Oryzias latipes: one gene and its partner. The protein of the gene in region 1 binds, or shares a complex with, the protein of each later gene. Links are inferred from orthologs where the notes say so. Each region holds a gene or a part of one and is shown in the gene's direction. Other genes may lie near its edges.

The links.
Region 2: growth arrest-specific protein 8 (region 1) and efcab2 share a complex: the UniProt entries of both Homo sapiens proteins name them as parts of the nexin-dynein regulatory complex. The link is inferred for Oryzias latipes from reciprocal best matches to the Homo sapiens genes DRC4 and DRC8.

What each region holds. Positions count from the first base shown.
Region 1 is NC_019861.2:21,828,021-21,844,789, forward strand, and holds growth arrest-specific protein 8, read left to right. Parts: upstream 1-6,604; 5' UTR 6,605-6,823; coding exon 6,824-6,826; intron 6,827-7,001; coding exon 7,002-7,097; intron 7,098-7,535; coding exon 7,536-7,733; intron 7,734-8,402; coding exon 8,403-8,603; intron 8,604-10,847; coding exon 10,848-10,899; intron 10,900-10,990; coding exon 10,991-11,193; intron 11,194-11,298; coding exon 11,299-11,397; intron 11,398-11,523; coding exon 11,524-11,604; intron 11,605-11,705; coding exon 11,706-11,915; intron 11,916-12,007; coding exon 12,008-12,073; intron 12,074-12,157; coding exon 12,158-12,217; 3' UTR 12,218-12,760; downstream 12,761-16,769. Other genes in the region: lysosomal protective protein, read right to left, coding at 202-293, 534-692, 776-910, 992-1,103, 1,657-1,817; transcription factor E2F4-like, read left to right, coding at 2,685-2,816, 3,075-3,184, 3,319-3,474, 3,731-3,774, 4,830-4,894, 4,980-5,271, 5,611-5,658, 5,862-5,890. UniProt on the Homo sapiens protein: Component of the nexin-dynein regulatory complex (N-DRC), a key regulator of ciliary/flagellar motility which maintains the alignment and integrity of the distal axoneme and regulates microtubule sliding in motile axonemes.
Region 2 is NC_019861.2:24,636,705-24,653,156, forward strand, and holds efcab2 (EF-hand calcium-binding domain-containing protein 2), read left to right. Parts: upstream 1-6,127; 5' UTR 6,128-6,439; coding exon 6,440-6,464; intron 6,465-6,581; coding exon 6,582-6,651; intron 6,652-6,738; coding exon 6,739-6,811; intron 6,812-7,889; coding exon 7,890-7,966; intron 7,967-8,561; coding exon 8,562-8,604; intron 8,605-9,548; coding exon 9,549-9,615; intron 9,616-9,709; coding exon 9,710-9,828; 3' UTR 9,829-9,918; downstream 9,919-16,452. Other genes in the region: cgref1 (cell growth regulator with EF hand domain protein 1), read left to right, coding at 169-254, 460-534, 1,484-1,557, 2,299-2,423, 3,477-3,575, 3,675-3,959; ADP-dependent glucokinase, read right to left, coding at 12,023-12,586, 13,414-13,550, 13,801-13,937, 14,046-14,142, 14,223-14,413. UniProt on the Homo sapiens protein: Component of the nexin-dynein regulatory complex (N-DRC), a key regulator of ciliary/flagellar motility which maintains the alignment and integrity of the distal axoneme and regulates microtubule sliding in motile axonemes.

The sequences.
Region 1 (16,769 bases):
CATTACAAAAATAAGTGCAAAAAGTTAACAGATTCAACAATTTCCAATATTTTTAAAATACTTTTTGTGAATGTAAAACCTTTAAATCATTTCTGTTTTCTGTAGATAATTACACTTTACATACTTTAATGAAAATTAAAACAAATAGATATGTTTTGTACAGAATTCCTCAGCACACAGGATGTACAAAAAGACACTTACTCTTCTCCAAAGAGGCCATGATAATAACCAAAGTATATCAAGGATTGGTCATTCAGAGCGAAGCTGCTGAGACCGTTTCCAACTGCAAAGCCCTTCAAAGACATCAAGATTTCAAAACATATATTTGAAGCTTAACATGAGATTTAACCCCTTGACGCCTGAATTTATTTCCAGCTATGAAAAAAAAAAACGTATGTATTTGCTGTCAAGTAGATGCTATATCAAGGTAAGTTTGTACCTGAAGTGGTTTGGTACAAATTTGCAAATTTGTTCATTTGAAAGCGCATTGCGGAAGTGAAAAAGGCGTCACGTTTTAAAAGGAAGCAACTCACCTTAAAATTGATTTTAGCCTCTCCTGTGGCCACATGGAGGCTGAGCGTTGGTGCATAAATTCCACCGTAACTCTCTCCAAAGATGAAAAACTCGTTCTGGGTGAAGTTTGGGAACTTTTTAAAGAAGCTCTGCAGGGCTTTGTAATTATCTTCAGCAACCTAAAACAAAGATGGTGGTTCCTTATTTTTTTATGCCATCTCTAAACTTTTCTCCCCAAAGTGTATCGTTTTATATAGCTCACCTGGTTGTCATCAATTGGGTAAGGCTGATCGGAGTAGGAGTATCCCACTCCTGCAGGGGATTCAAGATACAGCATATTTGCAATCTTATTCCAGCTGTATAGGTTCTCATAGAGAGTGGTTCCATCATCGTTTACCTGAAAAACACGAGCAATCCTGTCAGCCATAAGCCCCATCAAACCCTTCATCAAGCTAGGAACACAGAGAGTGAGGCTGACGTGAAACGGTCCATTCTCTGACAGGAATCCATCCAGGGAGCTGCAGCCGGGGCCTCCGTTCAGCCAGAGGACCACAGGGTCGGTGGCGGGGTCTTCTTGAGAAGTCACAAACCTACCGTGATGTAAATTTGGAGTTATTTTCATAACTTATTATCTGAATTTTCAAAGAATTGTCTGTCTGGATTAGCTGTGCACCATAAACATAATGTATAAAAACTAAAGTAAAATTCGTACAGAGTTTATTTCCCACTTCATGGCTCTGGTCCAAACATCTCTAAATCTCTGGAGTTTGTTTATGTTTATTTTAGACTAATTTTTCTGTTCAAAATGTCATCTTCATAAAATAGTATAGCAGTAGGAGATCATCAAAAATGATTGAAGTTACATTGGAGTTGCATAGATAGCGGGTCACGTGACATTATCAGAAACACATGGTCAAAGTGAGGATACACCACCCCAAAGAAAAAAATAAAACAAAAAAGCCACTAAGAATTTCTCATTTGTTGAAAAGTAAGTTACAGAAATATTCGCATATTGTGAACTAGAGAGACATGTGAGCAAAAATGCAAAACAAACTCTGAAAAAAGGAACAAAATCTCTGTAAGAGCAGAATAAAATGACAAATAATTACACCATTATTGCCAACTATCGATGCTTCCTCTCACCAGTAATGCAGGAACCTCCCGGGTCCAGCTTGGAGGTATCCGGACCATTGACGATAGTTCGGTTTGAACGTCATACCGGGTAGTTCCGTCACCTCATCAGGAGCATACTGAGCGTGCGAACCGAGCCCAAAAGCGGCCAGCAAACACAACACGATATGCATCTCGGAGGCTCACAATAGTACAACAAAACATCCACAAACTTCACAACCACGAGGAATACGGAAGACTTTGACTTCCTCCACCGTCATCCGCGGCAGTCGCTAAAACATCAGCCCATGCAGCTTCCAAACCAAATCAGTCATATGACTGCTGCGCAGCGCAGTCACGTGCTCCTGACTTTTACAGAAGAACCTTGAACGCCGCTCCTAAAAAAAGCATCAAGAAAAAGCTGCGACCTGATTTTTAAAAAGTGCTTGACTGTTTTTGAATCTGTTAAGAAATGAACATAGACTAACGATCCAGAGCAAAAGTAAAAGTGGTACTATCTAATAAATGTCATGTTTACAAAAAAAGTAAAGAAAGAATTTAACTTGATCTAATATATAACGATATTAAGAATTATCTACAGTAACGTCTGATAAAACATAAAAGGCCTAGTTGTTTAATTCTTAAAAAGTTGTAAATAAAGCAGTCAAAACCTAAAATTTAATGAATAAAAAATTCCGAAAATAAAAACTTTCCCCAAAGTAGACTGCTTCCGGGGAGAAGGTATCACAATAAAATGAGCACCACGACAACAACGATTCATTTTCAGGGAGAGCAAAAAACATTTTTCTACAATCAATGAGGGTGAAATTAACAATGAAATAGGAGGGACGTATAAGACACATTTAGAACATCCAGATGCACTATATTTTACACGGTTCTTTGAGTAAATCGGACATTTGTTTGTGGAGTACGTTTGTTGAAACACATATAAAATTTTATTTTGAAGGAAAAAGGAAGTTAGCGAAATAAAGTGGCAGTAAAGCTAGTTCAAAAGCGTTCAAAAGTTCTAGGTCTAATTTGTTTGTTTTGCTACTAGTTACATGGATCCCGACGACTGTTTAGACGAGGAAACTCCTGCATATGATAGGAAGATGAAAAGTCTTCATTTGCTCACGACGAAGTTTGTCCAGTTACTAGAAGAAGCTGAAAACGGAGAGCTGGACCTCAGACACGTACGTAAACTGCAAGGTTGCCACATGATTTTGATACAAAAAAAAGGCAATTTTTTGCAGTATATTGTGGTGGCAAAGTTAAACAAAAATGAGCAACATGATATATTCAGAAAAACGACTCTCCATTTACATTAACTGTATTAAATATGTTGAATACATAGACAGATTTTAAAAATCTGTTAGTTAGCTCATTCCCCAATGATCACAGTCAGTGGAAACATAAATCAGTTTTATTTTAATTGCCTGTCCTCTTTTCAGGCTTTCAGTGCTCTGGCTGTTGGACAAAAGAGAAGAATCTACGACATCACAAATGTGTTGGAGGGCATTGGTCTTATCAGAAAATTATCTAAGAACCATGTAAAGTGGCAGTAAGTCGTCACTCTTCCTGCACTAATTGTGCTTTGTGTAAATTCTTGAGTATGACATTGTTTTTATAATATAATTTACTTAGCTTGAACTGCACATCTTAACACACTTTGCATGTTTGTTGTTGTTGTTAAAGGGAGACGAATCCAAGAAGAAATGTAACTAGTGCAGGAAGAATTCTTATGAAGCTGAAGGCTGAGGTGTCTCACTTGGAGTGCAGGGAACATTTTCTGGACCAGCAGAAACTTTGTATTGAACAAAACATCAAGGAAATAACCGAAAACGACAGAGAATATCCTTTTTATTGATTTCAATGATCTACTTAAAATGTAACACATTATTTCACAACATTTATGAGGACGGTGTACACGTTTTTTCAGAAATTAGACTAAAATTCATACATTTCCATTCTTTTATTTCAAATTTTAACAATTTTACGTGTTAGAGAATACATTATATACTGACAAATTTATTTTCCATATTAATATTTATTATTGTTTAGCAACCATTGATGTCTTCTTGGTGATTTTTTTTTAACTTAATTTAACTTCAGTTTATGTGACTCATGACGACATCTGCAACTCCTTCTGTGGTAAATATCTCTTCTGTTTTTGTTTGCAACTTGTTTTGTGTGTTTTTGGCATGCTTTACTAAAGGCTTTTGTTGTATTGCTACTCTGCAACTTTACCCCACAGTGAAATAATGCAATGAACAACACACAAGGCCTCATGTACTGTGCAGTGCTAATGCATGGAAAGGAGCAAACTGTTGTTTAAACCTGAACATTGCATAAACCTCAAATAGAATTCTTAACATACTGTTTTCAAACTTCCAATTAGCTACACCAACTGTTTTCTGCAGTGAAACAATCAGATTTTCCTTTTGTGTTAGGCAGGGCAAACCCCAAAGGACATATGCTTCACTTCAGACAGTTGTTGTAGAAAGAGGTGCATATCAGGCTGTGCTGGAAGTCATCCTTCTTTCCTGTCAACAGAGGAAGAAAGACATTCAACCAGTTGTAGCATCTGGCTTACTGTTCAGCTTTTTAATTATTTCCATGGTAACACAAAGTAAACCAAGGGTCTTAATTCATTCTGGTTTCTTTCCAAATCACCATTACAGGTTTATGCCTTACATTTCTTAACTATAGAGACATGATGGAAAACTGATGAGAGATGCATAGATCTTAGAGTGTGAGCCTCCTAGCTGGTGCTAAAGGTTGAGCCAGATGAATAGTGAAGCAATCATCTGATTTCTTAGTTACTACAGGGTCAAATTACCTTTCACACTTGAACAACTCACATTTAATGACATACTCTTTAACTTATTATATATCGTGTTTATAAAGTCACTATAGGCTCTTCAAGAGCCTATAGGCAAACATACATTTCTCATAACGTCTTGCTAAAATTTTAAATAGATATACTCAAAAAATTTGTAGATGAATGCATTTACAGTGTAAAGACAAATATTTAAATACTGTGAATTTTTCTTGACACTGAATCTGTAATACTGGTTATTCTAAGAGTTTAATGCCAAAAAGCCTGTCATTTTTACTAACACATATAGGCAAATAATTGTATTATTTTTTTTCTATAAGTGTGTTTTATTCTAAAAAATATAAGTTCTTCTACCGTTTTCCTTCAGGTCGAACTGTTTTGACAGTAAGAGCACCCCAGGACACAACACTTGATGTTCCCATTCCAAAAGCTGTACGTTTGAGCTCAATCACACTTCTCATACTTTTGCGGCTCATAACCTGATAAGTTGTTTTTTTTTAATAATTTTTTCTTTCAGGTCCCAAACTGTCCAGCAAAATACCAGATTTATCTAAAAAGTCTCAAAGGACCAATTGATGTTATACTTTTTAACAAATGTTCTGCCAGCTCGGTTCCTCTTGTTTTGCCAGTCCCACCATCTGAAGAAGTTCTACAATGTGCCAAGTCAGCTATGTCACCTCCTGATGAGAAAGAAAACATAATTGAACCCAAACAGCCGTCAGCTATTGTCCAGTATGGAGAAAAATGGGTGCCTCAATGCATGTTATCATTTTTTAATGCTGAAAGCAAAACAAGCGATAGATCTCCATGTGAGTTTTTCCTTTTTTGTTGATATTGTGTTGTAAGAGAGATGTAGAACTTCATTACAAAAGCTTAATGATATGCTTAGTTATTCAAAATGTATATTTAGGAGTTTTCCTTGAATGCTAAAAACCCCCTTTGGAATAATTTTGTTTTAGAGCTACATAAATATGGCTTATTTTATTGGTTGATAACAGTTAACTTTCATTAACACTTATTGTCCTCTTGTTCGTCTGTTTTCTCCATGTAAACTTGTCGCATAACAAATATTTATATTATTGCTCGCTGTTTGTATTCATTAACTATATAATTATTAATTTTTAAATGAATATATTTCTTTTTTACAGTTATAGATTTATCAAAGGAACAGCAGGACCTGATTAGGGCACCCAGAGGTATTTTACTTACTTACTAATGCAATGCACCATAATAAACTTTATGTTTGAAAATGGTGATTTAACATGCTGCTTCTCAAATTTGTGATAGTCGTAATCGGATCACTCAGTTTATAACTTTTGAAGGCGCGTGCCTTTAAGGATCTAATTCATTCGTGACAAACCGTCCTGCTTTATTCACGACAAATTTGTTTCTCCTACAGTTTTGTCACCCCTTGGCCATCTAGCTTGACCCCCACCTGAACACGACCATGTTTGTAACCAGGAGGACGTTACAGGGATTCTTCATGATACACTGTATCTGTTTCTTTAAATACTCTGATGTTTTTGCTGATGTGTTTTTTCATATTTTGTTATAAGTTGGTTTAAAAAATAAAAAAACAAGATTTCAAATGTTGCACCCATCTTAATCAACACTTTAAAGCTAGGATTCTGTGGCAATTCTTTTTCAAATTTTAGTACCTGGCTCAGAAAAACATCACACTTTTCTTGTGATGTCAATAAAAACAAACTGGATGAGAAATAAACAACGTTTTTCATATCACGTTCAACATTTCTGATATCTGTTGAACTTTTGCTGGGGAAGCCCTATTTTCTGTGGCATAGAAATTAAAAAATTAAGAATTGATTTGTGCTGCTCTGAAAATAGTTTATTTTATTAAAATACACTTTATTTTACTGTATGAGGAATCATTTTGCTAAAAAGTATTTAGAGTTCAGTTAACCTGAGGTTATTTTGAAGAAATATGCTTTAAATGAAATTGTTTGTAAAAAATTACATTCAATTTTCTGTTTAGTCTTAAAAGAATTGTCTTAAAAATTGTAGAATTGTAGTCTCAAGTAAATTAAAAAAACACAAAAATATTACGATATTTTGACTTTGAAATATTTATTCGTATAACTTAAAAAAGAGCATCTCAATATATTGTAATAATGACCTCTAGGTTCTCTAAAGCTGTCATACATGCTGCAAATTGTTCAATCGTTTGAACAATAAAGTTCAAAATAAAACTACATCCGGTTCCAAACTTCGCCACCTTTCGAGCTTCCGGTTGTTGCTATGGGAACGAATGTTTAACAATGCTTGTTGTTGGGCTATGATTGCTGCCTTCCTAAAACACGTAAACGCCACCCGACTTTCTGCGTTATCTGAGCTGCGTAAACAATGGTAAATGTACCTCTATAAATGACAAAAAGTATGGTTGTTTCTATAAATCTAGAGTGACATTCAACCTATTAGCTTTTGTAGCCTCTATGCTACGATGTATGCAAACAAACTTCTCTAAGGAAAAAACAAACAAACAATCACAAAACTAAACGTTTGTTGAACTTGTTTTTTTCAGCCACCCAAAAGGAAAAGTACTAGCAAAAAGTCAGGAAAGCCAAACATGCAAACTCTGATCAATGGACGCACCAAGGAAGAAACCACCAAGGAGCAGGTATGAGCTCTACTAAAACATATCGAGTCATTTCAACAGGAAAATGTTTTTCAGTCATGTAATGTTTCCCTCTAACCAATACCAGAAAACCCTTTGAAAGCATTTATTGGACTTTGTTGAGAAGCATAATTGAAAAAATAAAATAAAATAACAGAAATCAAAACATTTAAGATATATTTCCAAAAGTCAGAAGTACCACCTGGAGCACCATAAGGTACCCTCATTTGTGGTCAGTGGTGTCCAAACATCATCCAGTCAGCATTGTTGTGCTGCATTTCGATCTTAAATGCTCATAAGCATTAACCCTCTAACATAATAATTCTCTAATATTTGTTGACTTTCTCATAAATTTACCTACAGCCATATTAGCTTGGTTAACGAAGTAGCGTCCTTTGGTGGAAAAGTTTGGTAACGATTACCCGTATTTCTGGGTTTTAGATAGAAGAGTACATTGCTCACCTTCAGGAAGAGCTGGACAGGGAGATGGAAGAGAGAAACTACTTTCAGCTGGAGAGGGATCAAGTTCACACGTTTGGGAAAATCACTGCCAAAAAACTGGAGGAGGTGTTGGCTGAGGAGAAAATCCTGGAGAAGGGGTTGGAGGAGGACGAGGAGCACCACCTCATAGAGATCAAAGTAAGTTCAGTTTGTGGACTGTAAGTTAACTGTTGAAATGGAATTGTTGGGTGTGTGATTTGTGGCCCTGACTGGCAACCTGTCCAGGAAGTCCCCTGCCTCCTTGCCTTCTCCCACAAGTGGCTGGGATAGGCTCCAGTAGCCATGTGACCCCGAAAGGGACAAAACGGCTTAGTAAATGAATGAATGAATGAATGAATGAATGAATGAATGAATGAAAGGAATTGTGGGGGTGTTTTTTTGTATTAATTGCCTGTGTTTATTTAAGCTGGTCTTCTTGTCTGATAAGTGAATATGTTGTTTTTCTTTTTTCGTAAATAATGCTGACCTAAAGTCCTGATATTACTATAATATGTTTGCCACTTTTCTGTTGTTTGTGGTTTATTTACTCACCCTGGCTTCATAGCCCAGCTATGGTTGCCTCATTATACCCTCAACCTCAGTCAGACCCCTAACCACAAAGGGTTACATAGTTCAAACTAACCAGAAAGGATTTCTCTGCCTTCTACTAATGACCTTCATTACATTTAAGTGTTTGCTGGGAGGTTTGGATATTTAGGAAGCAAACTCAGTGGAATTCAAAACCTTCATTCTTTCAGATTCTGGGTGTATGAGCATGGAATATTGTTAGACTGATGAAACATTTATTATGTTCTTTTTCTTATTCAGGTGTACAAGCAGAAAATAAAGCATCTCCTCTGTGAACATCAAAGCACAATCTCCGAGCTGAAGGAGGAGGGTTTGGTCTCCATCAAGAAGCTTCAGAAAGAGCTGGATCAGCTGGAGATGGAGTTTCATAAGAAAATCAAAGCTGGTATGGTAGACATACAGGAGCTCAACAATGACGACTTTGAAAGACAACGGCTACTGGTTTGTAACGCACACAAATGTTTTTATACAATAATAGGCGTCTATCTGTACAACTTGATGGGAGTTGCTTAGTGTGGCTTTCTAATAAACAGTTTTAAACTATTTTAAATGTCAAATATCCAACAGAAGTTCCGCAACTACTGACATCAGTCATAAAAAACCTGTGGTACGGCCAGATTTCTTTGAGGGTATTTGTTGTGTCAACTTTTTAGACCCTTCAGGTTTATAAACCCGTAGACCATCAAAAATGTTAACATTTAGAGACTTCTTCATTGATCCAAAGAAGTTCAGTTTAGTTTCAGACAATCCATCCATCCATCTTCCTCCGCTTATCCGGGACCGGGTCGCGATCCCAGTTTCAGACAAATAAAAAGCAAAAGAATATTGTATTTTTTGTGTCTTTTAATGCAAACTTTTTGACCTCAAAAGTAAAACCCTAGCTGGGTCATAATGTCTCACGTATAGCCTATTCTCATGACGTTTTTTAATGTCTTCAGTGCAAAATTTGGCTCTTTATATATTTAATTTTAAACATGTTTTATTCAGGTAGAAAAACATCCCAATTTTAAATTATTATTTTCTCATAAAATGGTAATTGCTCAGTGCTGTATTATACGTGATTATATATATTATATATGTTCCTGTGGACACTGAAATGACTTGAAACGTTAAAAAGTAACAATAAATTAAAATTTATCGAAAATTAAATAATCAAAATCAGCCATTACTTTTGAGTTGTTGATTAACAGAATTATTTAAAAATACAAACTAATGAAATAGGACTTGACAAAAATGATGGTACCTCCATAAAAGACTGAGAACTAATTGTCCAGGGGGTCATGATGAACTCAGGTATGTCCTTTAATTGAATGAAAGGAGAAAGGAGAGAATTGTCCCAGGACATTAGAAACAAAATTATAGACAAACATCGTAAAGGTAAAGGCTATAAAACCATCTCTAAGCAGCTGGAATTTCCAGTGAAGACAGTGGCACATATTATTCAGAAGTTTAAGACCCACGGGACAGTAGCCAACCTCCCTGGACGTGACCGAAGAGGAAAATTGATGACAAATTGAGGAGACGGATAGTTGGAACTGTATCCAAAGAGCCCAGAACAACCTCCAAAGACATTAAAGGTGAACTCCTAGATCAAGGTACATCAGTGTCAGATCACACCATTCGTCGTTGTTTGAGCCAGAGTGGACTTCGTGGGAGACGATCAAGGAGGACACCACTGTTGAAAGGAAATCATAAAAAAGCCAGACTGGAATTTGCAAAAATGCATGTTGACAGGCCACAAAGCTTCTGAAATGATGTCCTTTGGACATATGAGACAAAACTGGAGCTTTTTGGTAAGAAACATCAGCTCTATGTTCGTAGACTCAAAAATGAACCAAACAACCAAAAGAACACTGTCCCTACTGTGAAACATGGAGGAGGCTCAGTTCTGTTCTTGGGCTGCTTTGCTGCATCTGGCACAGGGTGTCTTGAAGTTGTACAAGGTAAAATGAAATCTCAAGATCATCAAGGCATTCTGGATAGAAATGTGCTGCCTAGGGTCAGAAAGCCTGGTCTCAGCCGCAGGTCATGGGTCTTCCAACAGGACAACGATCCAAAACACACAGCCAAAAACACCCAAGAATGGCTAAGAGAAAAGCGTTGGACGATTCTGAAGTGGCCTTCTATGAGCCCAGGTCTGGATCCCATTGAACATCTGTGGAAGGAGCTGAAACATGCCATTTGGAGAAGACACCCATCAAACCTGAGACAACTGGAGCAGTTTGCTCATGAGGAGTGGGCCAAAATACCTGTGGACAGGTTCAGAAGGCTCATTGACAAATACAGAAACCGTTTAATTGCAGTGATTGCCTCAAAAGGTTGTGCAACAAAATATGAAATAAATTTTCAAGAAATTTTAATTTATTATTACTTTTGAACGTTTCAAGTCATTTCAGTGAGCATTGTGGACTTTCTTTCTTTAACTGAGCGGTACCAACAATTTTGTCCACCACTGTAACATCTAGTCCTATAAAACAGACCTATTAACTCTATTTAGAGTTCTTCTAACTGTCAAGCTGTTTTACTTTACATGTTGGCAGCACCATTCAAAACAACACCCACATACGGTATTTGACACGAACATTTTGTCAGGAAATGATGAGCATTACATACTACACACAAGGGACTCCCAGAATACCTCTAAGAGGCGTTTTACACAAATTTGTGATTAATTTTTATCTTCAGTTACAGGATGAGGTTACTAAAACAAGGAGCAACTGGGAGCAGCAAGTCACAGGTAAATGAAACTAAACTCTTAGCTGAATTTAAGACAATTGTGTTTTTTAGAAATGAACTCAAAAGTCCCATTTTTGACATTATCTGTGCAGAAACCGCTGCAAAATATGAAGAATGTCTTAAGCTGTTCCAAGAAGAGTTGGAAAATACTGAAACAAGTTTGGTCATGAATTGTGAACTGGAACGAGACACCCACATTGTGGCTTTCCAAGAGGAAATGAGGGAAGTCTTCAACAGCATTCAGGAAGTCAATATTTTAATGGAGCAGAATAGAGAGATAATAAATGAAATCCAGGTAGGTTTTATTTTAAAATAGATATATAAAACAAATGTGTTCAGGACAAAAATGAAATAGTTTTATACTTTAGTAATCACTGCATGTTTTCTTTGCACCTCCTAGAACAAAATTTTACAAGAGAAGGAAATTCAAGTTTATGATATCCCCAAAGTTCAGAAGACCAACATTAAGAAGAAAGCAGATTTCCACTTGAAAAATAAGGTTATTGTTATGTTGATACTTCTGTTTTTTAAATATCAGTGTGACTTATTGAAGTGTATTCAAATTAATGTACATAAAAACTCAAATAAAAAGTGTAATGTGTCACTTTATTACTTTTCTTCACAGCAATCTATCAAAATTCCTGAAACAAAGACCGTTGAGGACCTGAAATTAGAAAATGAAGCACTAGAACAAAAATTCAACGGGGTGAAAGATAAAAATCCCACTTCACACGATTCATTGTTTTGAAGTCGAGAAAATATTAATATTCTATTTGTTTTTTCTTAATCCCATGTTGATTCACACAGCTTCAACTGGAAAAGGCAAAGTTGTACAATTCAGTGACTCCAAATATTGAGAGAACCCGTGAAAAAGTGGGTTTGAGGAGCGCACAGCTCAGGAGGAAGCTGCAGGACCTGACGGACAGTCTGGCAAGGTCACAGACTCAGCTCTTCACTGTTCTCTCAGACCCAAACATGGACCACAATGTTCTCAGTGAAATTGCAAACAAAAGTGAGGTAATGTTTCACACTCCTGTGTTCTCTGCTTTAAAACTCACTTTTGCCATATCTTTAGAAAAAGGATAACTGACAAAAAGTTTTGTCTGTAGGAAAATTTGGACAGAAGAAAATCTGCCATTAGGAACATTGCATACAAAAAGAATGAGATCTTGAAGGTTAGTCATTCTTTTACCTCATTATTTATTTATTTATTTTGTAATGAAAAGACTGTGTATGTAATGCAAATGTGTATCCCGCAGGCCCGAAGTCATCTGCTGCTGACCGGTGAAGAAAACCCGATGTTTAAGTCTCATAGATAAGATTCTGTTAGATCTCTTATTTGGAAAGCAGAACCTGGATTTCTGGAAGTGAAATGACAAATCTCACGTCTGAATTAAAAGAAAATTGTAATGTCTTTATGATTTTACAGAGTGGACTCATAAAAAATATAAGTTTGCTTCATAACAAATTATAGTATAAGAATGGATTTGCTGCAATTTAAATCTAAAGTAATGATCCATTAAAACAGACAACACATGTAAGTTTATCTTTGTGGCTTTACTGTCCTCTACAGGCTACGTACAATAACTGCAACCGCTCAGCTTCAAGCCTTTAAAGTAAAATCAAAATCTCAAATTTAAAGATTAAAAAAACAAACTAATGGTTGTATCCATGTTTTAAAACCGATGTGAATCAGGAACCTCTTGAACTTAAAAATAAATCTTTCAAGGGTCTTGATTTTGCCCTTTTCTTTTAAATTAATTACTTTTACTTCAAAATAATTCATAGTTTCATTTATAGTTAACATTTTCTCTGTAGCAAAGAAAAAAAATGCTTCAAAATAAATGTTTTATTAATCATTATCTGTATAGAATTGAAGTTTTGTTGACATATCTGCACCGCTGAAGCTACATTGTGATTACCGTAATTGTATTTAATACCATGTTACAGATGTTTAGCATCTGCTTTGGCACACTGTTGTGCAAAAAGGATGGAGAAAATAACCAGAACAATTTGATTCATTGAAAACTAAAAGAAAAACAAGAATTTGGGCCTGTTATTTGTTCCCTGTTGTTGTATTAATTAACTAATAATTTATTTTATTGTAGCAGTTGACATGTTTTTTTCTGTGTACTTTTTTCTGTAAAGGCTGGTTTTATCTTTCAAATACGTTGAAGGTTTTTCTTCCCCTGTCTGAAAATTTAGAACATTATAATGGAACTGAGTCAGTACACATTGAGGGCGAGTACAGTTATGAAGAGGCAACCTTTTGTGGGTATTTAGTTTTTTATTAAGATGGAGCAGCATTGTTTTTAGAAAGAGAATAATCTCCCTACATTTTTTTTTTCTCCTCAAAGATGTTTGCTATTCCTTTGTTCTGAGTGTACTTAGGAGTTCTGGCATTACTAGTACTAATGTTTGATAAAATAATTTCTTATAACTGCTGCCTTCACCAAGATCTAATATTCAATTATTTTAAACAAGCATATTTGATTTCAGCATGGTTATTTTATGAAAAACGTATGTTAAAATCTCCATTTGAAAAATTAAAAGTCTTGCCTTTTTGTTTAGAATGAGCCAGGATGAACAAAATCTGTGTGTATCTGCATAATAGTCATTGCTAAGGGTTGGTGATGATGATGATGATGATGATGATTGTATTTTTTGGACATTTACTTTAAAAGGACACATAGGACAAGACTGAAAAAAAAAAAAAAAAACCTAGAAATATCTGTCATTCCAGCCTTTTAAAGTGCTAAAAAGGAAACATTGAAACAGAGTAACCTAAAAAATATTATTTTTGAATCATAATTTACTTAAGTGCAGAATTTATACTATATTGATTTATTCTTGGTATATCTATCAACTGAGAAGTTAGTGTAATAGTTAGCTCCAGCTGTGTATTTCAATCACAACAGCTATATTACCTGGCCGATTTGCTGTTTCCAGCGGGGGGGGGCAGATCCAGTTTCTCATTGACTATTCCCATGGTGAATCGAGCCCTGCTGCACTGAGTGATCGCTGTTCCCTGCGGCATCAATAATACAGGAGGAAGTTATTGTCCCTGTGCAGGCTGCAGTATCTTGCAGCTGAAGCAAAAGGAAGGAGAAGGTGGTTCTTTCACTGAGAGCTCTCAGATTACAGGGCATGCAGACAGCGGTCTGACTCTGGAGAGACGGCTCCTGTGCCCTTTGCACAGGGCTCAATTGTGGGTCTGTCCAGACAAGGGATAAATGTATCTAAACAGTGACAGCATACAAAGTTCTTCTGGTCTGACCCGCTTGGTAAGACTACACCCCCAACACACCCAGTGTTACAAGAGATAAATCCCCCCTCAATAAAGAATTAGTCAATGGGCGACAGATCGAGAGTGGGGCAGTTATTCCGGGTGTGATTAAAATAATGCAGATTTTCACTTCTTTTTAACACCTTTTTCATTCCTCAAAAGCAGGAAAAAAGTCAGAAAATATCCAAATACAGGAGAGATTTAAAAGAACACTTTGTGTGATGGTACACAAAAAGAAACACACATAATGCCGGAAAGATTTTCAAGTGTGAAGCTGCAAACTAACCTGAAGCAAAGAGCCTGAGAAAAGGCACTTAAAACACCTGCACAGGTGGACGCTGGAGGGAGGAGGGGGATGGGGGAGAGGAAAAAGTAGAGAAAGTCAGAGCGATGGTGAAATAGAGTCCCACTCAGGTGGAGGTCAGCACAACAAAAAGCTGAAGGAGATGCTGCCAGCCACTTAAAGACGATGGATTATAACACTTGGTGAGTTCTGAGAATCTTATTTCTCATCTTTTAGGTTCCATCGCTGAAGGTATAGCTGTATAGTTGTCTCAACTAAATTAGATCTATTTTGATGTTCAGAACAGGATCCTGTGAGAATTGGAACGCTGTAAAACTTTTATTTTTGAAATGGTCAGCTCATCGTTAAAAATTTTTTTTGTTATGCCCTCTCTAGCGACCCAGCATCACCTATAGACTTATCATGGAACGTTCAGGCTTTCAGTTTAAAAAGACCTGCATTTTTTGCTTAACAAACCATGCAGCGTAAGCTGTACAATCATTAAGGTTTAATATCCTCTGCTGGCACTGATACTTACCTGCATCCTATCACTTAATGAAGAAACGCTATTTCTTTGTTTTCACCTATAACCCACAGGACAACTGGATTCATGAGAAAAATGTGAGAGCATTTGTTTTTGTGCATCCTGGAAAGAGGTGGAGATTGTGAAGACTGGGTCAGGGATGGCCACTCTCACATTTATAAGTATCCTATTTTGTGTTGTTTTACTTGGAGAAGGAGCCCCTGAGAAGACAGGTGAGTGCACTGAAACCACTTGCCTACATAAAATATTACTTTATTGTTTCAATATTTCAATGGCGGTTGCCACTTTCTATATCTATTCTCTTTTTAGGAGGTGATAAAGTGGACAGAGGAGATGCCATTCTGAAGGAGATCATTTCAAAACTGAGTAAAGGAAATGGTTTGAGTCCAAACAGATCTCCTCTGAATAAGGACTCAGACCCAAACAGGGGCCAGTCCATGCCAACCTGGATGAGGAACATAGTGGGAAGTTTAAAAACACTTTTTCCCAGCAAGAACAGGCCGTCATTAAACAAGCCAATTGACAGGCACCGTCTCTCTGGGTTCCTCTACAATATCTCTTTGTACCTCCAGGAGATGGGGGCAGAGCTGGAGGAGGCTCCTGGAGAAGAAGATGAGGTGCAGTTGTGGGAGAAGGTGTTGCACTTTTTCCTGCAGTCTGAAGGAAGTGCTGCACTGAACCAGTGGAACGGGAGAGTTCCCCCTCGGCCCAGCATCAGACTACAGGACTGGTTTTTGTCTCTGAGGGGAAGCCCACACTGGGACTGGCTGCTGGGGCTCCTGCAAAGTGTCATTACCTTATCAGAGCGTCTACCTCAGAAGTCCATCTTGACTTTCTTGTCTCAGAACTGGAGAACAATTAGCGCTGTGTTGGAAACTGTGCTTCAGGCTCTGGTCAGTGGGACGTATGGTCAGGCTAGTGCAGGCCTCCAGGGCTTTATCTGCGCTTTGAAGGGTCAAAATGATTGTGAATTCAGTGTGAGCTGGCTTCAGGAGCTGCTGCAATTCCTGGAGACGCGGAACTGGAAACCCGTGGTCAGCTTACACCCTTCAAGGGAAGCTTCTGGAAACACCAAGGGCTTGGGCACAATTGGCCGCTTTAGGCCCTTCAGCTTACCCCCTGAAGCCCTGAGACAGGATCTGTTGTCCGGAAATACATCTGTGGACGAAATGATGGTCACTGAGGATGAAGCAGACTTCATGCAAAGCCTCCTTCTGCAGGTTCTGTCTCGTTCTGGTGGAGGAGAGCGCGGAGGTCATCTGGCAAAAAGAAACCTAGCTCTTGTGAGGAGTTTGGATGGGCTGAGGCGGGGTCTTTTGCACAGGGTAGGGAGCTCCGTCTATGGTAACTTGAGAAAGAAAGTGTCACAAGTTACCATGGTGCTCCTTGATGATGTCAGCAGCCTGGTGGATGGAAAGCAGCAGAACACACATGGGAGATGCTCTGTTGGTGAGTAAAACAGAATACGACGACACTTTGGGTGAGAGTCTAAATGTGAAGAAAACAGTAAGCATGTTCTAAATGTCTCATCAGTCTGACAAAAGTTCTCCCCTGAGCTGCCCGGGTGACTGTGACTGACACTGCTTTAAAATCGTTATAATTTCCCTGCGCAGTGAAAGCGTCTGTTGTTGGCCCAGCTAATCCCCTTTATCCTCTCATTGATGTCAGTAATGTTATATCTTGTGCATTGTTGATTGAGCGCCTGTGTTATATCAGGTGTTCAGCCTCCACCTGCCTCTTTTCATCGCCTGTTTACTT
Region 2 (16,452 bases), about 2.8 Mb from region 1:
AAGGAGGCGATGGTGCTGCGGTGCCAGGAGCCTGCACACATAAGACAAGAGGAGGAAAACAAAGCTGCTGAAGGCTTTAGAAAAACATCCCTCTGCTGGTGAAACTTGATCTCAAGAGACTTGTGTTTACTTTTGATGATGTGGCCTGTTTGTCCTTCAGGTGCACAGATGGATTTCCATCCTGTCCGGCTGCTGCAATGGGTCCTGTCTGTCTTCCTGCTCTTGAGCCCAGGCAGCTCAGCTCCAGGGCAAATGTAAGCTCACCTTCCTACCACGATGATGCTCATCTTCTCACATTTGTACCCTCAACAAACAAATTCTGGTCTTCATAGAAGACACTTAGTGGATATTTTCATTTAAATAAATAAACATGAGATTAAATAAACACACCCGTGTTCATGATAATCTTTCCAGCTGATGGATGGAATAGGGCTCATATTGATGTGTTTATCTTCACAGTGTGGAACCGGTGGAGAGTCAGCTCCCTCCTGGAACTTTACTTAATCCTTTTGGCTCCAGAGAGGAGGAACACAGGTGAGTGGCTGCTGAATGATGCCCTTTAACCTGTTCTTATAAAACACTAAATTTGTTTTTCTTGCCATTCCTAAGTAATCATTACAGTAATAATGGAAGTGTGTAGAGAAGAAATCTGGAAGGACCTTTAAAGATGCATCAAGTTTTATACTGTTCAGTGGCCATGTTGAGTATTTTGGATTCATATCCACCCCATCTTTTCAGTGTTTTATGCATTTGTACAGCCAGACAGTTGCTGCAGCAGTCAACCACAGCTGATCTCAGGGAGAACGCCATGCTGGAGAACCAAGCTTACTATTATCTCAAACTATAATGACATGTTGAATGGATTTGAAGTGGTTAGCTTGGCTTCTCATCAGATTTTCTTTGACTCAAAGTAGAAGCAATGAGGCTGATTTTTGTTTCATTTCTTGCGAGGACTTTACAGAATCCCACTTCAGGACTGGAGAACATTTTAAAAATTGAAATAAGAACACCAAATATGATCTTTAACAAAACCCATAAGAGTATTCTACATTTCCATATATGTTGGTCATTATTCTTTTTAGTCTTTAGTGTTTAATGGTAATATTGTCAGACTTCAGTCAGCACACAGACTGAGTCAGTAGCTACAATCTTGTCTCTCTTGAACTTTGGTTGCTCTTGTACTATAAAACTGTTGGGAATTTTATACAGACACATTTCTCTGAACTTTGACTCTTCCTAATGTTTCTTTCTTTTATGTTTCTTATTTAAAGCAAGCCATTATTTCACAATAAAGTTAATGTTTCACTTTAAATGGAGAACAAATAAGAAACAAATTCTTTTGACTGTAGCTTCTTCCTCAATCCTCAATGCTCTCTCTTGGTCACATGCGTGTAAGATTTGGATTAATCTACAGAATTTTCTGTTTGATACTTTTAAGATTTTTTTTTTGTAAAAATAAAAACCGTGCTGTGTGTCGCCACAGATTGTTGCAGAGTTACATTCAGCCTATTCTGAAAAACCACCAAGGAGGACCAGAGATCACTTCCTGGGAACAAGGTACTCTGTTTATTCTAATGCAGAGCTGAGAGATAATTGTTTATTTGTTTTCCCAAAAGTGTACAGTTGACATTTATTTCCCATTCAATCACTTTGACAAAAATGTTAAAAAGCAGCTCATTTTTCAACCTTGATTTATTTTTGTTGTTTTGTCAGTGCTAACTAAAACAGATCCTTTTGAGTTGTGGCAGCTTGACTTGCATCTAAAGAGCTGATCGCATGTTTAAGAGAAAATGCTGGAGTTTCAATCACAACCCTTAAGAGATAATTATATTAAGAAATAATAATTTTAACAACCAATAAACATGTTAAAAACCTGCAGAAGATGAGCTTAGATCACAATACAGAAGGTAACTTTTCACATAAGTCGTTTTAGCTTCTGGAAGGATGAAAAATGTGTCATAAATAGAAGATTTTTGTTTCTTGACTCTAGTTTATAACTGTTCATCATTTAAACCTCACAGCCTTCAGATGAATACGTTGATCTCTTATAACAAGCAAACCTCATGACTTCTTGTAGGAGACAACAGTTGGGTTCCTTATATGGTCATATGTACTATGGCCTCCATATTGCATCTCAATTCCAGCAAAGTAAAAATTGTTCAGGTTCGTGGGTTTTCAGACGACAAAACTGCTCCATGCTTTCATCACCAAAGCTCAGAGATTGTGTTTTTTTTTTTTTTAAAGTGTCAGATGAGTTTGGCATCCAGCGTCTCTCATAGTGTTCTTTTTTTGCTTCAGAGGTTTTCTTCCTGTTCCGTCTGTATGACTTTGATCGCAGTGGGTTCTTGGATGGTTTGGAGATGATGAAGCTGCTCTCTGACTACAGCAAACATCATTCAGGTCAAGCGGATGCCAGCGAGCTGGTGAGCTGGAGTGACTTTGTGTAAATCAGGGGTCTGCAACCTTTAACCCTATAATAGAACCATTTGGTCCAGTTTCTTGAACGCCAATGAGAGCCACAAAGTCCCTCTGCACTGTTTAGAACAGGGGTGTCAAACTCATTTTCACTGAGGGCCACATCAGCATAGTGGCTGTCCTCAAAGGGCCAGATATAACTTATACATGTAACTAAATGTAATGAAAAATAAATGTAAATACTCCTTAATGTTAAATAACTCATCATTTATTTATTATAACTTTTTAAAGTGACAATTACAGTTGCATAGAAAACATATGTTTGCTTGTTATTCTAGCATAAATCCTTTTGAGTTTTGTAAGCTTATTAAAACCCACATAACTCCATTAATGAAGGATCAAACTGAAAAAGAAATTTGACACATGTAAAAAAATACACTTGATTTATGTTTTTGTGACCATTAAATTTTAGATAGTGATAAAAATTGAATTGTAAAAGTTTTATAATTTTTTGTATATCATTTCTTACTTTTGACACCAGCACAAACAAGTTCCATTCAAAATAAAATACATCCTTTATTAAATAAGATCCTTCTGCGGCAGCAGATTTATTTGAATAAAAAATGTAAGAAAGTCAATCAAACATGAACTTTTCTATCATTATGACTTTGGTGAACTTTCATCCTTTCTCTCCTTTTACTATTAAATATAAACATCACAACATCCAATTTTAAAAAGCCTATGTGAGCTTTAAAATGATTCTAATAACAAACGCCTCTCACGAAACCTTTTCCCATCATTATTTTAAAAATCTAAAAATAAATGAAATAAACTATATTAACTAAAACAAATCAATCACAACTACAAAAAAATATTTTTATTCAAATCGTTAGCATTTTTCTTCAAAGCCAAAGAGCCACAATGGAGGGATAAAGGAGCCTTATGTGGGTACGGAACCTCAGGTTGTGGACCCCTGGATTAGTTGGTGTTTTAGAGCTGTCATTGTATTTGGGTGTAGTTTCCTTTCTGACCACATATTTGCATCCCTTTGGGTGGTTTAGATAGTGTCTACGGTGGATTTCTTACTCCAGACTCAGGATTTGAACCATGATGGGCTGCTGGACCCCTCTGAGTTGCTGTCTCCACTCACTCACACACAGGTACTTCCAGATCAACACACATTTTGTTTTGGTTTTTAAAATGATACACCATTTTGTTTGTTTTGGCAATGACTTTATATGACACTTGCTACCTCAAAGGGCTCACAGATCAACCAGATACCTCAAACGAAGCAGGAGGTGGTTGTGGAGAACAGGCAATCAGCCATCATCACAGAGGAGCAAAATGCAGGAGCAGTGGACAACAAACAGCAAGAGGATCCTCGGGAAGACTTTCACCCTCAAGAGGAGGAAATACAAAATCAGGAAACACAGGCGGACAAAGACATACAACAAATAGATAAATATAATCAACAACAAATTGAGGACGCCCCTGTAGAAGAACAGGAAGGAGTCCCTGTACACCAGGGACAACCAGAAATATGAAACTCTATGAAAATGTTCTTCTTGGGAAGATTTCCTCCTCCCTTATCCCAAAAAAAGGGCTTTATTGGTTCTGAGGACTCACTGTCCACTCTAAGCTGTCAAACGTGTGCCAGACAATGAAAAGTCATCTTTTGCTTTCCATGCATGATGTTGTTCCTATAACTTTTAATTTCTAAAAGTTAAAACACCCCACAGGAGCATTGAAATCTATCATTATCATTATTGCACATTTTCTGGTAAGATTTGATGCTTTATTTATTCATCATTTGTCTCACTAGTAAATCTCTGGTCATACTTTTCATACACGGTGTTTTCACTGTGCAGTACACAACAGTAGTTTCCTAATCATTACTACATTTTGATGATAACTTGTCTCGGTAATATCCAGCATAAATGCAGCCAGAATGCACTGTAGTCTCTGCATGCCTTCAAGCATCTGTAAGGAATCTACTCAGGTGATATTTATACTGATGTGCTTTTCCTGATTCAATGTGTGGCACAAAAATTCATGTTTCCCTTGATAAAATGATAATAGACTTCAAAGAATAAATAAAAAAATGAAATCAGATTGCCCCAATAATATATTCATTCATTCATTCATTCATTCATTCATTCATTCATTCATTCATTCATCTTCTAATCCATTTGTTCCCTTTTGGGGTAACAGGGCTGCCTGAGCCTATCCCGACTGTAATAATACAATTTTACTAAATATCCAGTGGGGCAAAAAAGTATTTATTCAGCCACCAATAGTGCAAGTTCTCCCACTTAAAAAGATAAGAGAGGCCTGTAATTTTCTTCATAGATATACCTAAACTATGAGAGACAAAATAAAATAAAAAATTCTGAAAAATCCCAGTCTGATTTTCAAAGAACTTATTTGTAAATTATGGTGTATAGTAAGTATTTGGTCAACAACCCAAGTTCAACTCAATACTTTGTTATACATATACCTTTGTTGGCAGTGACAGCAGGCAAATGTTTTCTGTAGGTCTTCACAAGGTTTTCACAAACCGTTGCTGGTATTTTGGAATGTTCCTCCATGCAGATCTCCTCTAGAGCCGGGATGTTTTGGGGCTGTCGCTGGGCAAAACAGACTTTCAACTCCCTCCAAAGAATTTCTATGAGGTTGAGATCTGGAGACTGGCAAGGCCACTCCAGGACCTTGAAATGCTTCTTAAAAAGTCATTCTTTTGTTACCCAGGCAGTATGTTTGGAGTCGTTGTCATCCTGAAAGACCCAGCCATGTTTCATCTTCATTGCCTTTGTTTATGGAAGGAGGTTTTCACTCAAAATCTGACAATGCATGGCCTCATTAAAATTTTCCTTTACACGGATCAGCAGTACCTTTGCTGAGAAACAGCCCCAAATCATGAGGTTTCCACCCCCATGCTTTACAGCAGGTACGGTGTTCTTTGGATGCAACTCAGTATTCTTTCTCCTCCAAACACGACGAGTATCGATCTTACCAAAAAGTTTTATTTATTTCATCTGACCATAGGACATTCTCCCAGTCCTCTTCTGAATAATCTTATCATCTTAATTCTCTCTAGCAAACATGTACTGTCTTTAGCAAGGGGATATGTCTGGGACTGCAGGATTTGAGTCCCTGGCGGCGTAGTGTGTTACAGATGTAGTCTTTGTTACTTTAGTCCCAGCTCTCTGCACGTCATTCACTAGGTCTAATTGTGTGGTTGTGTGGTTGTGTATTTTTGCTCATTGTGATCATTCCGACCCCACGGGGGGAGAACATCTTCCAGGGAGCCCCAGAGGGAGGTAGATTATCAGTGGTCTTGTATGTCTTCCATTTCCTAATAATTGCTCCCACAGTTGATTTCTTCACAGCAAGCTGCTTACCTTTAGCGGATTCAGTCTTCCCAGCCTGGTGCAGGTCAACATTTTTGTTTCTGGTGTCCTTAGACAGCTTAAGGTTGTGTACTGGTGTATTTTCTATAGACAAGCATACATTTTCAGACAACCATCAAACAGGTGCCAGTAATTAAGGTGACGAGTGGCAGACAGAGGATCCTCTTACAGAAGAAGTTCCAGGTCTATGAGAGCCAGAAATCTTGCCTGTTTGTAGGTGACCAAATTCTTATTTTCCACCATAATTTGAGAAAAAAGTTCTTTAAAAGTCAGACGCTGTGATTTCCTGGAATTGTTTTCTTATTATGTCTCTCATAGTTGAGGTATAATGACAAGTACAGGCCTTTCTCATCTTTTTAAGTAGTAAAACTTTGGCACCATTGGTGACTGACTAAATACTTTTTTGCCCCACTGTAAGCTTTTTCAGATAAAGTTTTAGACTTGATGAGTTGGAAAAATTATTTATCCAATATGCAAACAGATATCATTATAGGTCATTAAGTGTCTCAGAATTAATTAGGTTATTAAGGAAACAGTACATTTTTTTTGTTGGTAAAAGAATATTAAGTAGGGTGTCACTCGGTTGCTAAGCAACACGACAACACCAGGCAGACATGGCGGAAGCCGGTGAAACAGCAGGTCAGTCAGAGTTTCTTTACTGGTTTAAAATTTGTTTAGTTTTTGTTATTACAATTCATTTATTTTTTTCAATATATAAATTAGATGAATACAGTCTATTTGTGCTTTGGTTATCAGAAATCCAGAGGAAAATCCGCGCAGCCTTTCACGTGTTTGACCACAAAGCTGACAACACCGTGGACGTCCGGTGAGCTTTAAAGATCCCAAACTTATTTCATTAACTCAAACAAGTCAAGAGTAACTCAGCGCCCACTCCGAAAATGTTGTTTTGCAGTGAGGTCAGCACCATCATCTATTCGCTGGGATGTTTCCCCACCAAAGCAGACATCCATCGCTTCGTGGATGAGGTCAGTAAGTTCCGCCCTCCTCGCAGGCGGGCAAAATAGTGTGCCATTTGCTTCTTCTAGACCTTCCTACAAGTACAACAAACTTTTACTTTGAAATTTCTTTTCTTTTTTTTTTTTTTGCGCATCTCTCCGTGCGCTTTTTTTTCTCTCCATCTGTTTCTGTCCATATCTGGACAGCTGGAGCCTTCACCCCCTTCTTGTACCTCCTCATTCAGGAGCGTTTGGCCATCATTGGAGCAGCAAATATAGGATGATTAGGTGTCGCGTGGTCTGACTGTAACGTCGTATCGCTGATTTTACAGAAAATATATGTTGACCCGCAGAATCAACTTAAGAGCTAATTTTTTTTTGATTCAGCCGCTTTTGTATCAATTCTTTATTCTCTGTTGCATTGTTTTAACCTAAAAACTTTAGTGCGTGCCGAATCCTTGTTTTACGCGCTTTGCGCATGTTGATCATTGCGCAGCAGCAGTCCAAGAGAATCACAAAAATAAATAAAAATAAGCATTGATGAAAAGCACGGACCGTCTATTTGCGCAACTTCTCACTCTTTTAGTCAGTCAGGCCTTGATTTCAGGCTTATTTGCTGTATTGCCACGGTTGGTACAATGACTTCAGTAGTGTAATTTATTTTATATAAAAAAGATGTAAAAACGAAAGATAAAACATTTAAATGACTGTTGAAAGGGCCTCACACACTTATGTGCCCAGGGCCCCCCCTGCAGTTTAATTTTGCCTCATATAGATTGTTGTAATATATTTTAAAGCCACATTTTGCCACACCTTCAAAATAGTCAGCATATAAATAGCATTCAATTCTTTAACAATAGTTAGAACTGAAGAATCTACTGGCAGAAATGTCTTCCGGATAAACCTTAAAAGTCCAGTTACCCTGAAGAACTGTGTCATCCTGCCATAACATTTATGATTGAAAAATCTTCACAGATGTAAAACACCACATTCAGAACATTTAAAAAATACATATAAATTTGTTATAATTACATTTGATTAACTCTGATTAACTCTCTTGTTTTGTAACATCTTTCAGAACTTTTGTCACAAAATTCTGTTCACACAGGTGGAGGAGGACAATATGGGATATGTTCACTTGGACAAGTTCCTACCAGTCATGACCAAAGTAATAATGGAGAACAAGTAAGAAAGTTCTGCTTTCTACATTATTTTCCAGTCACATTTTAAATTCATTCAACTTTTTTTGTCTGCTTCAGAAAAGAAAAAACAGTGGAAAAACACACTCATGTTAGCCTTTCTGTACAGCTGACACAATTTTTTTATGATGATAAATAAAACTGTCATTTATCACCTAGCATGCTGCAGATAATGTACTAGAGAGACCCAATGGCAAGGCGGTTCAGACTTTACTAAAAACACTGTAAACAAAAAAATATGTGATCTCCTTCAATACGAGATTTGGAAACATCTTCTTGTGCTGTTGGGTTGAATAAATTCAACATTTGAACCCACTTTTCATTGTATGTGGTGTTGTATTGCATGAGCAACTTGGAGTTTGACACCTTTATCTGAGAGCAACTGATCCCCTCATTATCACTCCTCAGCATTCAGCATTGCATGGTCAATGACTCTGCCTCAAAAAGATCTTCATTACACTATAGTTGCCATGCCATTACATTCTGAGACTAACTGGGACCTCCTGTTTACTTTGGAAAATTGTGCAAAGCTCTATTTGTAAACGGGAAAAATAATCTTTATTTTTAATTCTGTTTGTTAGGTTTCCTCCCATTCCTGAAGAGCATTTGCGTCAGGCGTTTGAGGTGAGAGGACACCCAGTTTCACTGTATCGCCAAGACCCATAGTTCACGATCTCCGTCCACTAAGGGGAATGACAGTCTCACGTCTTTGTCTGATGACTGCACATAACTTTCTTCAGCTTTACCTGCAGCCACAGTAAAGGAAAGAAAATTAATGGTAAAACTTCCTTAAGGCCCTGGTAAAGTTTGCATGTTCCCCTGGTGATTGCTTTGTTTCCCTGGGCACTCCAGCTTCCTCCCAAAGTCCAAAAACATGCTTCACAGGATAATTGAAGATTCAATTATCCTGTGTCAAAGCTGGGTAGGCTCCCGTGATCCCAACTGGGAATAGCAGGATTAGAAGATGGATGGAAAGTATGGTTGAGTTTTTACTTGAGATCTCTGTTGGTAGATTGTATCCTACCTCACGTCACCACAGACTATAAAACCTCAAAGGATTCCTGAGGCAGCAACGATCACATTTTATTTGACCTGCATTTTAAAAGAGTTCCAGCATCGTTTTCATGTCTAATCATCCATAATTGTTACTGTGTATTTCCTGAAATAATGTAAGTCACGATTCACTTGGTTAACTCTTCAAGTTTCCATTAAAGCTAATTTTCATTAACCTACCTATTACATAAATGTTTTAAACTGAAGAAATGTGAAACTTTAATCTTCAAATGACATTTGTCTTCTTCCCCAAGAGGACACGCTGTAAACCTTTTCTTCTTTAGAACATGTTTTTTTCAGTTCTCGCGCATTTTCAGGGATGCAAGGCAAAGTGATTCCGTGGTTCCTGTGACTGACGTGTTTCTTGATTTTTCTATTTAATCGAGAATACAAACTTTTGTTAAAATTGATATACTGTATTATAAACCTCAAGGAGATAATTTAACATTGAGCATAATGTTACCTTATTACCTTGCTTCAATGTTCATTAAACCAGAAATGCATTATGATTCCAGGTTTTAGACAAAGACAGGAGGGGATACATGGAACCACAAGAGCTCGCAAAATACATGAAAAGTGAAGGTAAAGCAGAAGCTTTGAAGTAGTTTGTGAGCTGGAAAACAACAAATTAATGGATCAATGTTTAATATTTTCATTCAATGCTTGTGTTCAACAGGTGAGGCCTTCAGTCAGGAAGAGACCAATGAAATGCTGACAGCACTGGTTGATGAAAAAAAGAACCTTATCTGCTACAAGGAGTTAATCAATCAGCTGACCATTGACCCCGACACGTAGGCAGTCATTCCTCATTTCTCAGCATATCTGCTGAAAAACAGTGTGTTTGGGCCAAAATACAAATAAATATTAATTTTTGTTTTTTCTGTATTGCTGTCAAACTTCAGAAATTATTCAAAATGTTTATTTTTAACAGATCTTGGAAGTTTAAATTGATTTGAAAGGTTAAAAAGAGGGCCATGATGAATTAACAAGTTCCAAAAATAGAGAAGCAAACGTTTAAAGAGATGTAGAAATAATGATAGGGATTAAATTTGCAACGAAGATGGAAACTCTGTGGCTTGTGTGCAACAGAACGTGAAGCTTAGGTTGAAAGAAAAAAAAACTAAACTTTGTAATCAAAATGCAAAGATTGGTGTTAAAATGATGACATTTTCTTCAATAACAGAGTTCTAGCAGAATGGAACAAAAAACAAAAAAAAAGCAGTGACTTTTGCTGAGCATAGCACTTTATCTGAGGTGATTTTCATGATTAACATGATTCCAACATTTACAAGACCGTCAGAAAACAGGGGTTATTTGATGTACAGGAAAGTCTGAGAAGTCTAGTAACAAATTCCAGCAAATCCCTCTATGTTCATGATTTTAGTGTACAGTACAATTTAATGTCAAAATAAACACAAATCTAATAACCGTTTAAGACCAGAGAGCTCAAGAGATAAAACATACGTCTACTGGGACAGGTTTTATCGTTTGGGTTTCAAACAGAAACAAACAGAATAAGGCTCAAATAGCTTGCAGATGCAGTCTTTATGAGGGCACAATTATTTAAGGAAAAAATGGTCAACTTGACTATTGTAGTTCTGGAAACAGGCCCAACTGGATTGATGATGGAATGTTTATTTGTATAAAGAGGGGGAGGCACAGTTGAAATGTGCTAAAGTCAGCATTTAAATACAGATTTGAAACAAAATCAATCAAAAAAGAATCACAGTTGTAAAAAAAAAAAAAGTCAGATAAGCACAACAGTTCTGTTGCAAAGGAGATTCAATTGTAAATAAGACGACTCAAGTGTGGCCTGGTGGAACATGGAAATATGGAGATCCAGGCGGATCTCCATGTTTCACAAAGATTCAAGAGTCAAATGATGACTTCAAGTAAAAATGACAGAAAAGCAGCCCGTTTTCCAGCAAATCCAACTAAATGTTCATTTCAGGTGAAAAACTGACAAAAGGGAAAGAAGTCAGAGTGAGAGAGCAGCTGACGGAAAATTGAATAAACAATGACATCAGAATCAGCTCCCTGCAGTGGTCTCTCTGCATTATTGCACACAACTTCAACGCAGAGATTTACACCCAACACTAACACGCCCACAATATTATGCACACGCTTCACATATAGCAGGAAAAACAGGAAATTTCCACCATGTTCCTCCTTTCTTTCAGAGAAAGGGCTCAAGATCAGGAAAGAGGATGATCTTTAGGTCAAAGCGTTCTGATCAGTTGAAGCTTAGTGGGATTCAAAAAAGAACAAGCTCATAGATAAATGAGGTCAAAGGGTTGTTCAAAACCTGATATGCATGACGCCAAGAAACACTGGATTCAGTCATTTCTGAGGCCTTGTTGCATAGCTGCAGCCCACGTTTAAAGAGTGGGAGGATAATTGATCTCAAAGGAGAAGTTGTGCAAAAATTACTAAAAAAGAAAACCACACACACACACAAAAAGAACCACACAGGGCACATGTTGGCCCAATAAAACAACCTATAACTTGTGCCCAATGTTACCCCAAACCTCAGCCCTCCTTTATATCATCCTGACCAAAGTTTACATTTTTAAGGTGTCAGAGAAATATAAAAAGATAAGCTATGAAAATCAAAAAGTCTAAAGGTGGAAAGCAGTGACCCGGCAAACATGCTGGATCAATTTAATCGTTTTACATTTTCATATCATTGATTTTTTAATTTAGGTTTTTAGCTGAGCAGCAAATGTGTATTTTCCATTGACTGTCCTCCATCCTACATACATTTGAGACTGAAAAGATGGTGGCTTCACTCCATCACCAATTACTGCTAACCATCAATGGACTTTTCTCACCTGTAAGAAGTTTCTATTATTGACAGGTTGGACCATCAGCTGCAGAAGTAACAGATTCATCAGTACCCAAAGTCGGAAGTGAGCCACACTTTGATCAAGTTACCAGGGTCACATGGTTTGCCAACATTGATTAAACAGAAAAAACCCTATTTCCTTTTTTAAATCTGTAAGACCAGGCCAGCAGCAGAGACGTTGTCTCCTCCACCTGCAGTCTGGTAAACCTCGGTACACACCAGCACTGGGGCCACACAAATCTCATAGTCGTCCTCATCCCAACAGCTTACGGGCCTGTTCTCCTGCAAAGGGATGCGCTGGCTTCCTTCTCGTTGGCTGACGGAGAACGAGTCGTCCATGATGAGCCTCGCCTTGCTGGGGTCGATGTCATTGGAGCCGCAGACGTGGCGGTTAGCTGTGAGCGAGGCCTTTGCCGTGGCTGACATGGTGTTTTTCCATTTGGAGTCCCGTGTCACGATCATGGCCTGGAAGGCCAGCGTGTGCACGTGGAGGCGGGTCAACGGCTTACCCCTCCTTTTAGCACCCTTTGCGTCACTTTCCGTACTGGCGTCTTTGTAGCGTTGGTTGAGAATTCGATACACCTCCCTCATCTGGTCGAGGACCGTGGCGACACGAGGGTTTGGATCCGACAGCACTGTGATGTTGGAGCCTTTGAGGAGGCTGAGGAGATTTGGAAGTTCCTGTTCATTCATTCCTAAGGAGTCTGCCTGGAAAAGCACAGAGAAGACAAACTGTCAAACTGGAATTATTCAAAGATACATTCTAAACTACTGAATTGACTGTTTTTAAAAGAGAACCAAAACAATAAAATCAGAATTTAATGCACATCACACAGGAGGGACATGTTTGGAGCATCACTTTGCAGTCAGGAATGGCCATTTTGTTTCATATTTTAAAATGAAATTATATTTATACAAGTTAACTTCATGAGGTGACACTTTTATTTTGGCATTTGAAAATCACAGATCCAACGGAGGCAGTCGGACGCATTCCAAAAGACGACATCTGTTTCCAGAAACAGGACTAAGCAGGCAGGAAGACGTCTGGTCCGTTTAATCAGAGAATCCAACTCATTTTTGAAAAAAATAAATAAAACTGAAGCACCAAGTGGAGAGTCTGTATGAGATCTGCTAGAAAAGTCCTGAGGAATGCAGAGCTCTCAGACTGAAACAAGCCCAAAGGAACTTGAAGCTCCACTGAAGACTGATTAAAATGATTAATTATGACTTCATTGTTTAAAGGAAGAAGAAACATTTTTACACATTTAAAGGTTTGGCAAGCACGACTGCTCATAAAAAATGTGTTTAAAGGACCAAACAGGAAGTGGTTAATATTCAAATATAGGGAAATCTCACCTTTTTTTAATGCGACTGTTTGCAAATGTAGATAAATAGTTTGCCCAAACACACCAAACTCAGTTCCCAGTTTTCCTCTGACCTATTTACTGCACTGTGTTGTTTGTTCTCTGCACTTTCATGAGTAACAACAAGACATTTGATCACATTTGTGGCTAAAAAGATCCTGTCATACATACGTGGGAGACGACATAGTGCAGAAGGTCTTCCATTATACTTTCTTCAACAAAGCTGGCCATCTCAAAATGAATGCCGATTTGAGGAGAGGAAGAGGAGAGCAGGTCTGACAAACGAGAAAGGAGAGCATCTCTCTCACCTGGAATAAAAAAAACCACAACCACAAAGTTTTTACAAACTCAGAAAAAAAATGGAGGAAAGACAGATAAGAAGAAGAGAAGATGAAGCAAGAGAAAAGAAAAGCTTGAATACAAAGAGGGACGCTTTTAACAGAAATAATCAACCAGAGATAACAGATGAGAACAGGGGGTAGAAGTGACAGAAAGCTTAACTAAAGGGACACAGACAAAATAAAACCAACATACAGATGTGGCGGCCGTTTGACTGACCTGACTGGAATGGAAAGTTATCCATCATTTGCAGGCCACCCACCACCAACAGATCTGGTTTAAAGTCTTTGAGTTTCTTAGCAAACTCTTCCATAGAGGACAAATAGGGGTTCCGGTTATCACTGTGAATTATGTATCTACAAAAAACACAAACATCAGCTGAGTTAAAAGCAAAGAAATGCCTTTGTACACACTATAGAGGTTCAAGAGTATATTGTTTCTGACTTTAAATCAAAACAAAAGACCTGTTGGCTCTGCGTGACGTATAACGGCCCCAGCTAGATCCAGCTGAATACTCCAGGATCAAATGAATGTCTGGCTCTTCTAGAACTTCACCAGCCACTGGAAAGAACAAAGACAAAAGAGTAAAACGGGACTTGGTTCCATCATCCCAGGCTGTGGCAAAGAATTGTGTGATGTACCTGTGATGTGCTCGGGAAGGACGTCAACGAAATCGGTGCTGTAACTTCCCCCGAGCAATACATCACATCCCTCATTTGCCATGCGACCAGCCATGACTGGAGCGTTTCCACCTACAGCCCATCTGTTCCCGGGTAGGTCCCGAGCGCTGTCCACCAGCTCACTGAAGAGGGTTTCATTCAGCATAAAGCGCCTAAGGGAGGCAGTGAAATTAAAAAAGAGAATGAAGCAATGTTTACTAATGACATCAAGTCTCTTTTTATCAGAGTAAATTCCAACATCACATTAGAGCTTCAAGTGTCACCTTTCAAGGAACATTATCCACGTATCAACTGCAACACCGTCCATCCTGGACGTTTTCTTTGATTTATTGCTCGACATAAACCAAAACATAAACCAAACAGATGGCTAAAAATGTGACTAAATAACTACACTTCACACCCTGCAACAAATTGGGAGTGTCAAACACAAAAAAATGGTAGTGCAGCGGGGGCTGACGCGTCCTGTTGAATGGGTGAAATGCCCATAAAAAAATAAATAAAAAGAAAATCACATACTTAGGACTCAGGAGTGGGATAACTAATGAGATTTTAAAGTGTTAGCTTGGTCCTTCAGTGTACAGATAAACACAGAGATTGCTTATGCTGACATGGAGGACTTCCAACGCTCATTTCAAGTTTATAGTTTTAGTTTATAAAATTGCAGTACAGTATTTCGTCCTCTAGATATTTATTAATCCTTGAAGTACGCAGCTTCAGCATTCATCTTATAAAAAATGTATTTTTCACAGAATCAGAACTGTATGCCAGCTTCCTATCAGGCGTGGTTGAGATCTGTGGTACAGCTCATGACTGGTTCAGATCATATCTGGCAGACAGAGCTGTGATTGTGAGCTTATCTGGATTTACATCTGCCACAGCACCTCTGTCTTGTGGGGTTCCTCAGGGCTCAATTTTAGGACCTCTTCTCTTTTCCTTATACCTCCCTCCACTGGGTTCCATCATAAGAACATGGAGCATCCTTGCATTGTTATGCTGATGATAGTCAGTTATATGTTCCCATTAACAAGAAAGGTTCCTCTATAACACCACTCCTGTCCTGTCTACATGACATCAAAGGTTGGATGGCCTTAAGCTTTTTGAGTTTTAACAACCAAAAAAAAAAGAGGTGATTTGGTCCAAGCGGCTCTGTGTGACCCGCCCAAGGTGGATTTAAGTAAAGCTGGGTTTTAAAATGGATAGAGATTCATCAGCTCAATGGTAAAGACCAGCTTCTTCCAGCTGAGGCAGTTAACAGAGATGAAGCCATTTTTATCCCAACGACATTTTGAGACATTAATCCATGCCTTCATCACATCCCCGGTTGGATTACTGTAACTAACTTTATTTTGGGGTCAGCCAGTCATCCCTCTCATGTCTGCAGCTCGTTCAAAAAGCTGCTGCTCGTTTTTACTGGGACCCCTTCACACCAGTTCTGGCTTCCCGTCACTGGCTGCCTGTTCATTTTAGAGTTTTTAAATCTTTGAGTGGACTTGCTGAGCTTCCCTCTCCATACACTCCAGCCCAGTGTCTCAGGTCAGCTCATCAGCTTTTCCTTGAGGACTAAAAGGAAGTGTAGGGGGAACAAACCTTTTCCATCTGTGCTCCGAAACTTTGGAATGCTTTGCCACTAAATATTAGACAAGTGTCTTCCCTGTCCATTTTTAAAACACGACTTAAGACTCATTTTAATAGCCAAGCTTTTAGTCATATTTAATATTTTACTGTTATTTTACACTCAAGTTTTATTTTTTCTACTCTGAATGTTTTCATTTGTTTTTACCTTCTTGCTCTCATTTGTTTGGCTTTTATGTTTTTATTCACTTATTTATTAAACCCGTTTTAATTTTGTTTAACTTTTATTGTGCAATTTTGTTCAATTTTAATTGTGTTTAAGCACTTTATAAATAAAGTTGATTAATTGCTATTCAGTTAGAAGGAATAACTAGCTACTCTGAGGGATGCGTGCACAATATTCAAACTATTTTTAAACAATTAGGAGTTTATGCAATTTCTTTTTGTTGTTGTTACAAATGTTCCAGTTAAAAAAAGTTTCACAGAAAGCTCAAATATCTCTCTGGTTGAGCTCATGCATGTCCAAATCCCAAAGCTTTACAAAAACGATAATCCAACAATTCCAAAACAAAATAATATAACAGAAATTGAGTAACAATAAATTCATGATGAACAACTT